Linked DNA regions of Diceros bicornis minor. The protein of the gene in region 2 interacts with the protein of the main gene of each other region in a pairwise test. Links are inferred from orthologs where the notes say so. Each region holds a gene or a part of one and is shown on either strand. Other genes may lie near its edges.

Region 1 (6,926 bases), on a different chromosome or scaffold from region 2:
AGCACAGAACTGGCTGGCCCCAAGGCCCACTGTCCTCTGGCCCACACTGCCTTGCAGGGAGCAAAACATGCCAGAGACCTAGTGACACCGGTCTCCTTCTGCAAGGACCCTCGTTAAAACCCTCATGTGGCGATGGCATCAGAGCTCATTGTGGCTAAGGGTGATCTCTAAATCTTACACGTTTTTCCTCCCTCAAACTTTCTTCCTCATGTCTTAATCTTCACTTGCATTCAAGAATTTGTCCTCGTTTCTTTCACTCAAGAGCCATTTCACAGGGTACCCATCCTGTGCCAGGCACTGTTCTGGGTGCTGGGACCCAGAGGGGAAGGGATGGAGGGCCTGGTCCCTGTCCTGGAGGAGCTCAGGCCCAGAAGGGCAGCAGACCTGCAAACAAATAGCTTTAAGCACGTGCTGGAGGTTCACGGGGACACAGGGGGTGATTTGGGCACTGGTGACTGAAGAGAAGACATTGGCACGGGTCCTGAGAATTAGAACAAGTGGGACTTACCTAGATGAGACAGCGGGGAGGGGATCCTGGGCAGAGGGACTAGCAGGAGCCTGGCCTGGTGCTTTCCAGAAGCAGTGCGTGGCTGGTGTAGTCAAAGCATTCAGGTTGGCAGTGGGGGAAGCAGGAGATGTGACAGGAAGGTACTTTAGGCCCAGTGGTAATCGCAGCTCTTTAGTTTTGATCTTCATCTAAGTGGTGTGATTTTCATCTAAATGCTGTCTTCCTATGGCTTCATAATTCTTTCTTCTTTCTCACCTGCTTCTGAAGCGTTTCTCTAATCTAGCTGAGACATCATCTTTGAACAAGGGCACACCTGCTCTGCGGGGCCTGTGGGGGGTGTGGGGGTGGTGGTGGGGGCATATCAAGCTTCTCCACACACCTGGACCTTACAAGCAAGGATGCTGGCCCCTGGTGGCCTCCTCTGGCTGCTGCAGATTCTAGGGCTGCAGAGTGGGCTCCCAGGCCAGGTTGTCACTCAAGCAGGAGTTGGCTCTTCGAGTCCCACTCTGCATCCCTCAGGACACAGCTTTGCTCGCAGGAAACTGTTTTCCAGCACACCTCACAGCTGCTTGACTGGCCACAGACTCTGTGGGGATGGTTGAGCCCAGAGGATGGCAGAATCCATCCAGTATTCCACGCAGTGTCTGGCCTTCGCTTGCCTCCATTCTCGGCCTCCTGCTTCCTTACCAGGGAGGGGTCATGTTTGGGTAGCTGGGCATGTGCTTGGAGCCCCGAGAGCCTGAATCAGCACAGTGAGCTCTGCCGGGCAGACAGAGGGTGGGGGACTTAGTCCTAAACCCTCTGACACAGAGTGAGGGCTCAGAAAGCATGTGCTGAATGAAAAATTAGATGAATGATGAGAAATACCATGAGGAGAGGGAAATATAGAGCTTTCCAGGAATAAGGTGGGGGTTGGGAAAGAGAATGGTAAAAAATGCAAAAGGCCTGCTATGTTCCAGAATGTTCGAGAGACAGTGGGGACCACTGGGCCATGGATGCCAGCTTTCCCAAGCATGTTCAGATTTTGACCATTTCTGCCTTCAGGCAGGATGAAGATAAATTGTTTTTATCATTTTATTCTGGGCTAATTTTAGGTTTACAGTAAAATTACAAAGACACTATGGAAACTTTCCATATGCCCTTCCCTCACTTTCTCCTAATATTAACATCTTACCTAACATGCTACATTTGCCAGAACTAAGAAATCACATTGGTACAATGATATTAATTAAACTCCAGACTTTATTTAGATTTCGTCTACTTTTACCAATGACTTTTTTTTCCAGGATCCAGTCCAATCCAGGATGTGAATTCTGGACTTAGTTGTCGTGTCTCCTTACTCTCCTCTGATGTGTCATCGTTTCCCCATCTTTCCTCGCTTTTCATGACCCTGACAATTTTTAAGATCTAATATTCAGTAGACTGTCCCTGAATTTGGGTTTGTCTGATGTTTTCTCATGACTCTACTGGCATTGCGGGTTACTCTGTTAACCTGATCACCTGCTGCCGGTGGAGTCTGTCAGGATTCTCCACTATGGAGTTACCGTTTCTCCCTTCCCATACTCTGGTCTACATCCAGTCCTCACTCAAAGTGAGGGGAATCAAGCTCCCATCCTGAAGGGGGGAGTATCTACATGTATCATGCAGAATTCTTCTCTATAACTATGGAGCACGACAATAACAATTCTTTGGTTCCTTGGTAATGTGGATAGTTGAGGGTGGAAGCAATGGACAATTAGAAAATGACTAGAAAAGTTGTCAAAACCCTAGAATTTAAAAAATTTTCTCAACATATATTATCAGTTATTCTTTCCTTTTCGAAGTTGGCCAAAATAGAGCTCTTAGGCAAAAGATCATCATTAAATCTATTCCGTCACCCTACCCATGGTATCTGAAAAATGGAAAACTTGATTCAAAAACCAACAAAATAAAACAAAAGCAACACCCAATCATTGACCTTGAGTCAGACACTCTGCATACATCACTGCCAGCTCCTGTTAGCTCTGCATCGTAAATGTCAATACTGTCACTTTTAGGGAGGCTGAGTAACATGATTGATGCCCACAGCTGCCACGTGTGTGCCCACCCATCTCCCCACCCCACAGCCTTCTCCTGTCTTTTCTCTGTGGCACATCCACTGCCTTTTCCAGCTTAGAAAGCCCAAGAAGCAGAGTCTACCCAGATGAATTTTTATAAATGAAAAGTCTCTCTAAAATAGAAACAAACAAACAATGGGGCAGTCTATTCATAGCTGTGGCTCAGATCACATTAATGTCTTCTCTCTCTGTCTATAGCCTCCACAGTGATGTTCCTGCCCGCTCTCCCAGCTACAGGCCTCAGAGCACTGTTTGCACAGTTGAAGGAAATGAGACGATCAGGAAGGCAGAAGATGTAGCGTCTTACCTTGGCGATGCTCAGTGGCTTTTCACCATAGTTCTTCAAATCCCAGCGCCCTTGTGGTGACGCAGCCTTCTAGCTATAACCAGCAACTTCTGATGTAATCCCAAAGAAAAAGCCCATCCCAGTCGTCTCAATCAGTTCACGGAGCTCGTGGCTTCCTGCAGGCAGCAAGCACCAGGCGGAGATGGCAGGTTCCTCGGTCTGTGGTCAGAGCCTCACCAGCCGCCCCCAAAGAGCCCCGCCCCTCCACCCCAGTGCTTCAAAAAGCTTCCAAGGGCTCACTGGGCCCAGTGGGCACCACTGTCCCAGAAAAGCCCATGAAAAAGGGCCACAGGCAGCTGGTCTTTCTCCTGCCCCAGGCCACATCGGTCATAATGCCCCTCCGCCCCCAGAAAGTTTTCTCGTGGGCTTTTGGTTTGACAACACAGGTGGTGTTTTTCCTGTACCGAGCCTCGCAGAGTCAAGCTAACTCTACAGGGTATTTCGCTCTGGCTGGCCACATTTGTCTGCAAGACAAGAAAGAGCTTGGGCTCTGCTGCCTGTGCCATTCGTGGGAGCCAGGGCAGCCATTCTCTCAGCCGTATTGGTTTTGCTTCATCTTCCAAAAAGTGCTGATAACACCTAGCCCATAAGATCCTATGAGCACAAATGATAGAATGGGTGTGAGTGACAGGCACAGAATTGGCTCTCAATAAGTAAATGCTAATTCCCTGTTTCTTTTTTATAGCACTCTAGCCAGTTGTTGATTCTGATCTCAGGGCCTCTTCAATCGTGCTGCTTCACTTGGCTATGAAAACTCAGAGGAGCAGAGAATGATGGAGGAGGTGGGGAAGGGACCCTAACATCTAGAGTGGTGAGATGTTGTCCTGTACTACACCAGCTGAGGGACCAACAGGACCAAGAAGGTTGCTGAGATGACCTCGGGAGACTTGTTTGTCCATCCAGACATGGTGAGCCATTGGTCGCCTGCTTTCTGACACATGGAACAAAGGGAGCCAATGGGGGGGCTCTTCTCCTGCCTCTATGTCTGGAAACCTTGAGGCGGATAGAATTCAGATAGGCCTGCTTCTACTCCTGGCCTGGCATCACAATCCAGAATCTCAGTATCCTCATGGAGTTTCTGTCCTTGGATTTTAGGACTAAGACAATACCTCGCTGTTAGTTCCTGGTAGGAAAGAGCTTTCTGACAGATGTTCACAGCAACAGCAGCAGCAACATAGAGTTCTTAGGATCTAAGTGTCCTTGGAAACTATCTGCTTCATTTCCCCAAAAGGTTTTTATGAGAATAAGTGGATTAATGTATAAAAATATCTATTACAGTATTTAGCACATAGTAAACTTCAAATAACTGGTAGCTGATGTGAATATGTCTAAACTAAGTCTCAAATCTTATCTTTAAAACTGCTTTGTCTTCTTCTATCCTGGGTAGCAAAGGGCCCAGAAGAGTGTTCAGAACCAGCCATGCTCAGTGAATCATACCTATTATGAATTGATTATTATATTCACCTCCTGGCACCTGAGAGTTAAACCTAAGCATTAAACACAAGTTGAAAAAATCCCAAACTCCTTAAACTTATGATTTCAAAAGTTACTGATTTGAGATAAGATTATTGTCTTGTTATTTCAATTCAACTAACACAACAAATTTTGTGAGTGTTTGCTCTGTGGTAAGCACGCACTAGAGGCTGAGGGTAAAGACAGAAATAGACATGACCCTCCTCTGATGGTCATGGGAAGGGGGTCTGCTAGACTGACAATTATAATGGGGTATGGGATATGGTAAGTGCAGCCACAGAAGCCTCAACAAGGCACAATATTAGATCAGAGGCAGGAGGAATAATTCCATCAGGGATTATTGGGGGGAGTTACCAGGGAGAAGGCCTCGAATGTGATTTGTGACTAAGAATCCTACAGACTCTTGGAGGCAGGTATCTAGATGGAGGCTTTTACTGAACAAGGATCCAATGATGCTGTTTGACTTATGTCTAATATTTTTATCAGTGGGGCCTAAATAAGTGACCTTTGGACAACTTTTATATACTTGGACCTAAGGATATAGAGAATATAGTGGGGAGCAGGAAATCCACTTTGCTAAGGAGAAAATCCATTTTCCTCTGACTCTGGCTCATTTATTCAAGGTTGGAGTGAGAGGGGATGTGAGAGTTTGCAGGGAGGGGAGGTTCAAGGTAAGCTGGCCTTTTTGTGGTCTGGAAAAACATCTTCACCTTTCTGTCCACCTCCAAAAGACAGGCATTGAAAAAGAAAAACAACAAAAATGGACTCCAGCAGTCACTCAGAAAAGAACAAGGAAATGACCTTGCTCTTGGGTTTCAGATGTCTGAGCAGAAGTGAAAGTTAATTTCAGCCATTTTCACCTTCAGAGAGTCATAGAATCCATGAGAAAGGCAGACGGGAGGTGGGGGCAGGACCCAGGGGAGAAGATCAGAAGCAGTGAGATGTGTTAGGTGAGGCTAGGGGTATCCTTTTTAAACATTTTTGTTAGAGAACCTCAGAGAGCGCTCTCAGGGCTGCACTGAGACCAGACCCCAGCTTTGAAACACCCAGTTCAATGTTCAGCCTCACTGGCTCCCCTATTTATTTTTGCACAATTTGAGGTGACTTATGCAAAATTTGGAGCTCTCTTTCATTGTGTCTACATCAGCCTCCTGACATCAGTAACTTTCTGATCAAAATCAAAAACTGTGGGCAAAAGAATGTTTAAGTGGAAGAAACATTAAAATAATCCAGTCCAAAATTCACTTCAGGAATGGTGGTATGAGAAAATGGGAAATTTCCCTCTGAAGAAAAGTATAAAATTAGACAAAGTTGTCAAAACCAACCGTTTCAGGGGACTCGAAAAATGACCAAAGGCAGACAATAAACTAAATGTTTAATCTTGAAAAACTGCTGCTGCATCAGAATGGCCATTCTGGTCTTCTTACTTGGAGGTGCTACGTCCTCTCCTCCCCTATCCTGTAGCTTGGGTGATAAGAATCACAGCTTTACCAGTGGGAATGTGGAGCTTGGTTTGAGAGCTGTTAGTGAAAACCAGCAGCTTTATCAGCTGGGGTGACAGACTTGGTCTGGGATGGGGAAATGAAAATCTGCAGTTTTATGGGTTAAAGGTCATGGAATCAGTTCTAGACAGAAAGTGAAAAACTACAGCTTTACCGGCTTGAGGTTATAACCTCTGTTCAGAGTGGGCAGAAGATTACCCAGAAATGTAATGGGAGAAATCCTGGAAGTAAGAGAGCCAAGAAAGGCCTGAGACAGTAAACTTCCCATACATCCCTGACTGAGTGCTAAAATACGCATGCGTCAGGGAGACCTGAGAGAGTATAGCAAAAAGTGAAAGCCAGGGTAGACCTGACGACTGGCTGTAGATTTGAATTTGTTCCTCCAACCACGCAGCTTGGGCAGCAGAAGGTGGAAAGTTTACAGGTTCAAAATGTCTCAGCATAACCTCTGTCCAAATAATTGCCTGACCATTAAACAATGCAGAAACGGGATACCCTTAGAGAATCAGACTAAAAAACAAAGTGAAATACTAAAAATACAAATTGCACAGTGATATCAATGGCTGCACACCATGGAGGTGACCAGCTTTGTGATTCAATGTCCAATTTTCAACTAGAAATTACTGGATATGCAAAGAAAAGGAAACTAACCACACAAAACAAGTTAATAGACTCTGACTGCAAATGGGCCCAGATGTTGCATTTAGCGAAGACTTCAAAGCAGCTGTTATAGTTATGTTCAAGGAATTAAAGGAAAATATGCTCAAAGAATTAAAGGAATTTATGTTAACAACAAGTCAACAAAAAGAGAATCTCAACAGAGAAATGGAAATTATAAAAAAGAATCAAATGGCATTTCTAGAGCTGAAAACTACAAGAAGTAAGATTGAAAATTCACTAGATAGGTTCAATAGCAGATCTGAGATGGCAGAAGAAAGATGTGAATTTGAAGATAGAACAATAAAAGTTATCAAATCCAAAGAAAGAGATCCAAAAGAGTT
Region 2 (7,517 bases):
GGGCCCAGCCCCCGAAGTCAGGCAGCTTGCAGTCTGAGGGAACAGAATGTCACGGAGGAACCCAGGTATCATCCTTCTCACTCACAAGTCAACCACTGTATCCTCAGCACTGAGCAGAGCTGGGCATGCAGTAGGTGGTGAAAAGTATTTGTTGATTGACTGACTAATGAATGAATGGGCAAGAGAAGCTGGTCCCTGGGTCCCTGGTCCGTCCTTCCAGTTCTCCTGGCACATGCTACCAGATCACTCTGTCTGAACCACAGCTCAGATCATGTCTTTCTCCTGCACAAACCCCTCTGGTGGTCCCCCATCGCCTCTCAAACTGAATATCCACCTAGCTCTTTTGCCACTGTCCCCTGACTCTCTATACTTTCCCCCACCCATCAGCCCTCTCCCAGCCCAACTCCCCCACCAGCCCGGGCTCCACTTCAGCCCCAGACCAACGTTCTGCTGGAGGCAGGCACTGCAGAAGAGCCAGGCACCTTCTGCTGTAAACCTTTGGTTTCAACCTCAGATCATTCTGCTGCCAGCCTTCCCCTCAGTCAGCTTATTCTTATCCCTCCTCCTGGAATATCCTCCTTAAAGCCCAGAATTGCCATCCCTAAATCTCACCCACCTAGCATGGGGTCTGACAGAGTCAGCACCTAACAAATGTTTGATGGATGGATGAGTGAATGAACTAACGAATGAAAGATTCATCTCAGATGACATCTCTTCTGAAAAGCCTTTGCTAGGCTGTAAGATCGGATCCACACACTCCCTCACTAGAGCTCTCCTTCTAGCACATGCCTTACAGGACCATATGGTGCCCACGTTGTGCCTGACTGTCTTCACGTCAGGCGGCACCTTGAGCCCAGGGACTACATAGCTTTGGATTCCATACACTACTGTGCACTAAGGTCCCCAGGAAATGTTGTTGGCATTAAATGGAATCAAGCATCCTTGGGGATGATCTTCAGTTTCTCCACCTGTGAAATGGGCTACTACTTGCTCTACTAGCTTCCGCCTGTACTGGCTGTGAGGCCCACCAGACACACTGCCTGGCTGCAGAACATGGCCACACTGGGGAACCCTCCTACAGCTTGGACAAGGATTAGACTCCTGCGCCTGGGCCTGAGGCTGCCAGGGTCCTGGGTCAGCGTTGAGTCCCTCCTGGCTGTGGTGGGAGCTGAAGGGGCTGGAGGGTGGGCACTTCTATCTCACCATCACTTGGGGCCTCCCTCGAAACCTGGTGAGAACGTGTGAGATTGAGTTTGGGGCTGAAGAGTCTCAGGGGACACTCATCCACTGGGCAAAAGAAACCCTACCCAGTGGCGTCCCTGCTCTGTGTGGTCTCTGCTCCATTTTCTTCTCTCCCTTCAAACCGGGACTCCTTGTCTCCATCCTCAGACTGCACTTTCTCAGGAACTGACTGAGGCAACCTAGGGAAGTTCCGCTGCTCTGCTCAGTGAGGGCCTGGGGACAGCCAGTCTTATCAGAGACGCTGGGTCTTCTACTAGCGGGAGCAGTGATGCCAGAACCTGGGCGGGAACCCAGGTCACCCACCTGCAGCCTGGCCAGCTGGGGCTCTGGGCGTGGTGAAACAGGTTCTGGCTGGCCCGGGCCCGGAGAGCAGTTGGAGGAGGGAGGCTGAGGGGCCCGGTGCACGTGGAAGGCCACGCTGTAGGCCAGGCCCCCGCAGTGGCGGGCCGTGGGGTCCGCGCTGGCCTGGAGCAGAGCCAGCCTGCCGCAGTAGCGGTACAGGTCCTTGTGCTCCCGCGCCGACAGGTTCATGCGGGGCTGGTCTGGGCGAGGATAGATGGGGAAGATGGCCTCGCCCACGCGCTGGGCTGCACTTCCTGAGGCCCCGCACAGCCTCAGTGCCTCCACCCTCAGCTGCGCGTCGTGCTGCTCATCGTTCTTGCAGAACCCTGGTGAGGAAACACGGGGTCAGAGAGTCTATGGGGTCTCCTTGCCTCCCCTGGGGGATAGGGAGGACAGCCAGGGCCCTCGGGAAACCTGGGCTGCCTGGCCTTTGCTTTGAAGTCAGGCTTGGCTAAGATTTCCCCGGTGGGTGACCCCCTCTCAGGCCCCACACACGGCTGGCTCCCTTTACTGAAGGGGGAGAGGGGGGCTCTTAGCCTGTGAGATGGTTCTGGGGAAGAGTTCAACCTGTCCCTGATCTCTGGTCACCGGAAGGCCTGGGACTTGGTTTCCCCATTCCCTCATATCCCTCCTCTTCCAGGAAGCCTGCCTGGATGGCCTCATAGTCTAGGCGTGGATCTTCTGCTCCTTCCAGATCACTTAACTATTCTGTTTGGGATTCCTGCCTCTCCACCTGATCTGGAAACTTCCTGAAGGCAGGGCCCGAGTCTCCACCTCTCTGTCCACCCTCCATACTCACAGTCCAGTGGTTCTCAGGGCTGGGCACTCAGGGTGCTGGCTCTAATGTTACTCAGTGTGACGTCCAGTGGGACTGGCCCCACCTGCTGTGTGCTTAGCTTTTGTAAATTCACAAAGCCATTCGTCATCTGTCCTTTCACTTCCTCCTCACCCAACCCTGTGACCAGCATCAGCGTCCCCATGTCACACTGACGGAGGAAGGGGCTCACAGAAGGCCAGCGTTTTCCCAAGATCACACAGGCAGAGCTTTGGGATTCAGTCTAGAGCTCTGATGCTGCCCCTCCCGGTGTCCCTGAGGCTCCCTGGGGTCCCTGACAGGGCTGGGGCAGGAGTTGGAGGGTCCTTCTCTCCCCTCAAACCCTACCCTTGCTTCATACCTTTGGGCAAAGTAAAGATAAACTTGTTCCTGGTGAGGGTGAGGCTCTGGCCAGGGTCCTGCTGCTCAATGACATCGGTGACAGCAGAGCAGGTGGGGAGGGGGTCCCCATCATTTACCTGCAGCTGCACACCAGCCCCAGAGCTGGCCTGCAGGGGGTTCTCAGCTGACAGCCGCAGGGCGTATCTGCCCTCCTCATTAAACCCCACACTCAAGACCTCGAACTCCAGGTCCAGTGTCTTCTCCTCGGTCTTCAGCCTCTGGCTCAGCAGGGATGCAGGGACCCAGGGTTCAGGCCCCCTGAAGGCCATGGCCATATCGGGGACTGACCCCCCCTGGGCTGAGCACTGCCCCTTCCTGCCCACAGTCTCAGCCTGGGCCCAGTCTGAAAGCCCACACGCTGGGTGCTCAGGGCCACACCCCACCCTTCTCTGTTTGTTTGGGGAGAAACCAGGTAACAAGCCAGGAAGCTGATTCTGTCCTGGGTAACAAAGGCAGCCATTGATCTGTCCCTTTTAGCATTTGTTCATTCAACAAATATTTATTGAGCATCTACTATGTGCCAGGCACTATTTTAGGCATTTGGAATGCAGCAGTGAATCAAAGATTTCCTGCACTTCTGAAGCTTATCTTCTAGTGGGGGAGGTAGGTGGGAACAGATGAAAATAAGCACTAAATATAGAAAATAAGTAAATTGTAATATATGCTAGAAGATGATAAGTTCTATGGAAAAAATTAGAGCAGGGTCAGGGATGAGGAGAACTGGTGTGAGGAGCACATGGGTATGGGGTAATCAGGACGTCCAATTTTCGGGAGAGCCTGTCTCCACATGCCTGTTCATTCCCAAGAGTTCTTGAGTTGGATGGGGATGGGATCTCAAGGGGAGAGGGACAGTGTATGTTCCTTGGGAGCATGCCCTTAGCACCTGCTTCTGGAACCAGTGTACCTTCTTATTTAAAACTCACAATATGGGGCACAGCTTCACTTTACAGAGAGCCCAGAGCTTCTCATACCAAAGAGTTGTCAAGCTGGAACCCATCCTTCCTGATCCTGGGTCTTGCTGATACCCAGTTGGGGAGGGGAGATTCTAGACACTCCTTAGTAAGAACCATCTCTACCATCATCACTATTACCACCACTATTACCATCTCTACTATCACCATCATCACCACTACCACCACTATCACCACGATCACCATCACTACCATGAGCACCACCTTCACTATCACCAACACCATTACTACCACCACCACCACCACCACCACCATCACCACCACCATCACCATCACCACCACCACCATCACCATCACCATTACTACCACCATCACCATCAGTCACCACCACCACCACCACCACCACCATCACCATCACCATTACTACCACCACCACTACCACTACCACCATCACCATCACTACCGCTATCACCACCATCACCATCATCACCACCATCACCTCCATCATCATCACCTCTATCATCATTCTCATCATTATCCAGTATCATCATCAGCATCATTTATGATACTCATCACTGAGCAGCTATTGAGTGCCAGGCACTCTGCATGGCTCTGTGAGGTAAACATAATTATCCCCATTATACAGGTGAAGAATCTCAGGCTGAGAGAATCTCAGATCACGTGGCTAGCAAGAAGCAGAGCTGAGATTTGAACCTAGATATTCTAAGTCCATCTATACTTTCCCCTACTAAACATGTCCTGGGACTGGCTCAGAGATTGAAATTCATACTATTAGGGGCTTCTGTACCCTAAGACTGTAGAAGTACAGTTCTGAGTCTGAAGAGTACATTTATGGACAGCATAGATTTCATTCAAAAGAGTTCACTTGAAGTCACCTTGAGTAGAATGCGTCATTTTCATAAAGTAAGAAATAACCAGTCTAAAGATGGTATTGGCCAGCCCAGCTAAGCGCCCCAATGTATATGGGAGTCTTCCTCTGCAATGATGGCGATTCAGTGTCTTCAGGTCCCCCAAGGAGAAAATGAGGCAAACAGGCTTTAAAAGACCAGAGTTCTAGTCACCTGACTTGCAGATCCCTTTCCCTCTCTGGGTGTCAGTGGCCCCATCTGCACGATGGGTGGAAGTCGAGTGGCTAAGTCTTCCCACAGCACCGGCAGTCTGAAATTCTCTAAGTCATATCGGGAAAGGCCACAGTCTGGCCATTTGGGGAAGAGGTTCCAGAGGCTCCCTGGAAACCTTTGTCTCAACAGCTAGGCCTGGCCCACCAGCCTAGGTCCTGAGGCCATGGTTTGCCTCTGCTAGGTCTAAGGTCTTGGAGATTCAGTGATTCAGTAAAAGTGGCCCTCTCCCCTTGCATGTGTGAAATCACCCCCAGAGATGTTACAAGATGGAAGGCAGTCTCTCTGTCCTAGGGCCAACCTCTGTGCACTGCACCCAGCCCCCACCCCTGCAAGCCGGTCCCATGTACACAACCCTTCTTCCCAGTCTGTTTATCTGAGCTTGGAAGATAACACCTCCCTCTTCCCCCCTTGCTCCCTTCTTTCCCTCCCTCCACATTTCTACAGAGGATCTGAGGTGATTGTGTTGGTCTTAGCATGTTTTGAGGGCCCTCCACAGCTGATGCCCCCACGCTTCCCATTGCTAGCCTCCCCTCCCCCACTCAGTCTCTGGGAAAGGCTCATTTTTTTGGTGGGTGTGTATGGTTACTTTCTTAAAAATTGTGGTAAAATATACATAACATAAAATTTACCAGCTTAGCCATTTTTAGGTGTGCAGTTCAATAGTGATAAGTATATTTACATTGCTGTGCAACCAGGCTCCAGAACTCTTTTCATCTTGTAAAACTGAAACTCTACGCCCATTGAACAACTCCCCATTTCCCCTCCCCCAGCCCTGGCAACCACCCTTCTATTTTCTGCCTCTATGAACCTGACTACTCTAGGCACCTCATATGGGTGGAATCACAAAGCATTTGTCCTTTTGTGACTGGCTTATTTCACTCAGCATAATGTCCTAGGGAAGGCTCACTTTTGCCCCAGGCCAGGCCTGCCCTGTCTCCCCTCCCTGCCTTTGCTGGTGCTGCTTCCTCTGCCCAAACTGCCCAGCCCCACCTGATGTCCTCCAGACGGGCTAAAAGGCTCCTCCTCTGGCGCCAGAGTAGTATCTCCCTCCTCTGCCACACTCTGTACCTCCCTCTCCAGTCTCAAATGATGACTTGCCCACACTCGACTGAACATCCCTTCAGGGATCATGTCTGTGTGCCCAGGACAGAGCTGGGCAAGGGGTTGGTGCCTGGAGGACTGTTAAAGCATTATAGAATGAATGAATGAATGAATGAATGGAAGGATAAATGAATTGATGGACAAACCAAACCCAGCTTCTGCTTGTGCAGAAAAGAATAAGAACTGGTTCTTTTGGCTATTTTATCTGGATTCCATCTGTGAGAAGTGATGACCATACCTGGACTCAGATGCATCTTGGTGCCTAGGTGGGCAGGCAGGTCCCCAGGAGGGAGGGCAGCAGCATGGGGGTAAGTGGCAGGGCAGGAGGCAGTAGTTCCTAATGCTCAGGCTTCTCCAGGTCTAATCTCAGTTCCACGGAGAAAGTCTGAAAACCTCAGTGAATTTTAGCAGGTCAGGGCTGGATAGCACTCCCATTTTATAGGTGGAGAAACTGAGCCCAGGATAGCAGAGCAGGACCAGATCCTTACTGCCTTCCCAGGATTCCCTCCACTCCCAGCTGCCTCCCTGATTCAGCCTCCTGCAGTTTTCAGAAGGTTTAAACTCCAGGCAGAGGCCTGGCTCCCACAGAAGGAGTCAAGAAGGGGCAGGGTGTGGGGTGAGGAGAGGAGACGACAGTGCTGACTGTAAGTGGACTTCTGCAGTCCCAGCATGAAAGGCCTTAATGGGGCCCTCAGTCTTCTTTCTTCCCCAGAAGAATGGCCACTCAGAGTCCGCTGGCTTTGTCTGGAAGAGCCTGGGGTTTTAATTAGCCCACCCCAGAGGGCCCCCTTCCTGTTTCCCACAGTGGCTCCTTTCAGCCTCCCCTGCTGACACTCCCCAGGGCTCCTGTGGGCCCTCAGACCCCCAACCTCAAGGACTCACCTCCAACTTGCCCCACCCCACCCCACTCCTGGCCTCTGCTCAGAGCTGAATCCTCCTACAGGGACATCTGTGAGTTCACTGGATGCTCCCAAGGGCCTGGGAGCTGGGACTATTATCCCCTCCTGCAGATGGGGAAACAGAGGGGCAGAGAGATCTGGTGGGTGAGTGAAGGGGTGGACCTGGACCTCAGGTCTCCTGATTCCCAGGCCAGTGTGATCATGTGATCATCACCGCTCCGCACCGGGACTTCCACGTCCAGGCCCCCTCCAGCAACCTCCTCCCCACAGTGGAACCATCCCAGGCGCACCCCCTCTCCCTTCAAGCCCACAGCGCCAGAAGCTTACGGGGTGATAGAATCACAGACTCAGACTGGCGAAGTGCAGCCCAGCGGCCAGCGTCTCTCCATTGCACAGACGGGAAAACTGAGGCCCAGAGCAGGAAAGGGCCTCATTTTTGGTCACTCAGCTGGTAAGTGGTAAAGGCAAAATGAGAAGCCTGGTCTGCTCCCTCCACTGATTGTGGTGGTTAGGGCCGGGGTCTGGCTACCTTGAAGCTCTCCCCTCTGAGTGGTAACTCTGATCGAGTCCCCCTGCCTCTGGCCCCATCAGGTTGCATACTCTTCCCCTCCTGGCCTCAGAGTCTTCCGTCATCCCTGAAGCCCTCTAGCTCTGGCTTTCAGCC

What was found. The genes of interacting proteins can lie anywhere in the genome.
Region 1: the proteins of CCDC33 (region 2) and BLK interact in a two-hybrid assay, tested with the Homo sapiens proteins (3 studies listed by BioGRID and IntAct). The two-hybrid records come from large-scale screens. The link is inferred for Diceros bicornis minor from reciprocal best matches to the Homo sapiens genes CCDC33 and BLK.

The regions. Positions count from the first base shown.
Region 1 is NC_080750.1:62,725,800-62,732,725, forward strand, and holds the start of BLK (tyrosine-protein kinase Blk), read right to left. Parts: upstream 3,078-6,926; 5' UTR 2,912-3,077; intron 1-2,911. UniProt on the Homo sapiens protein: Non-receptor tyrosine kinase involved in B-lymphocyte development, differentiation and signaling. B-cell receptor (BCR) signaling requires a tight regulation of several protein tyrosine kinases and phosphatases, and associated coreceptors.
Region 2 is NC_080744.1:67,225,326-67,232,842, reverse strand, and holds the start of CCDC33 (coiled-coil domain-containing protein 33), read right to left. Parts: upstream 3,076-7,517; coding exon 2,760-3,075; intron 1,911-2,759; coding exon 1,546-1,910; intron 1-1,545.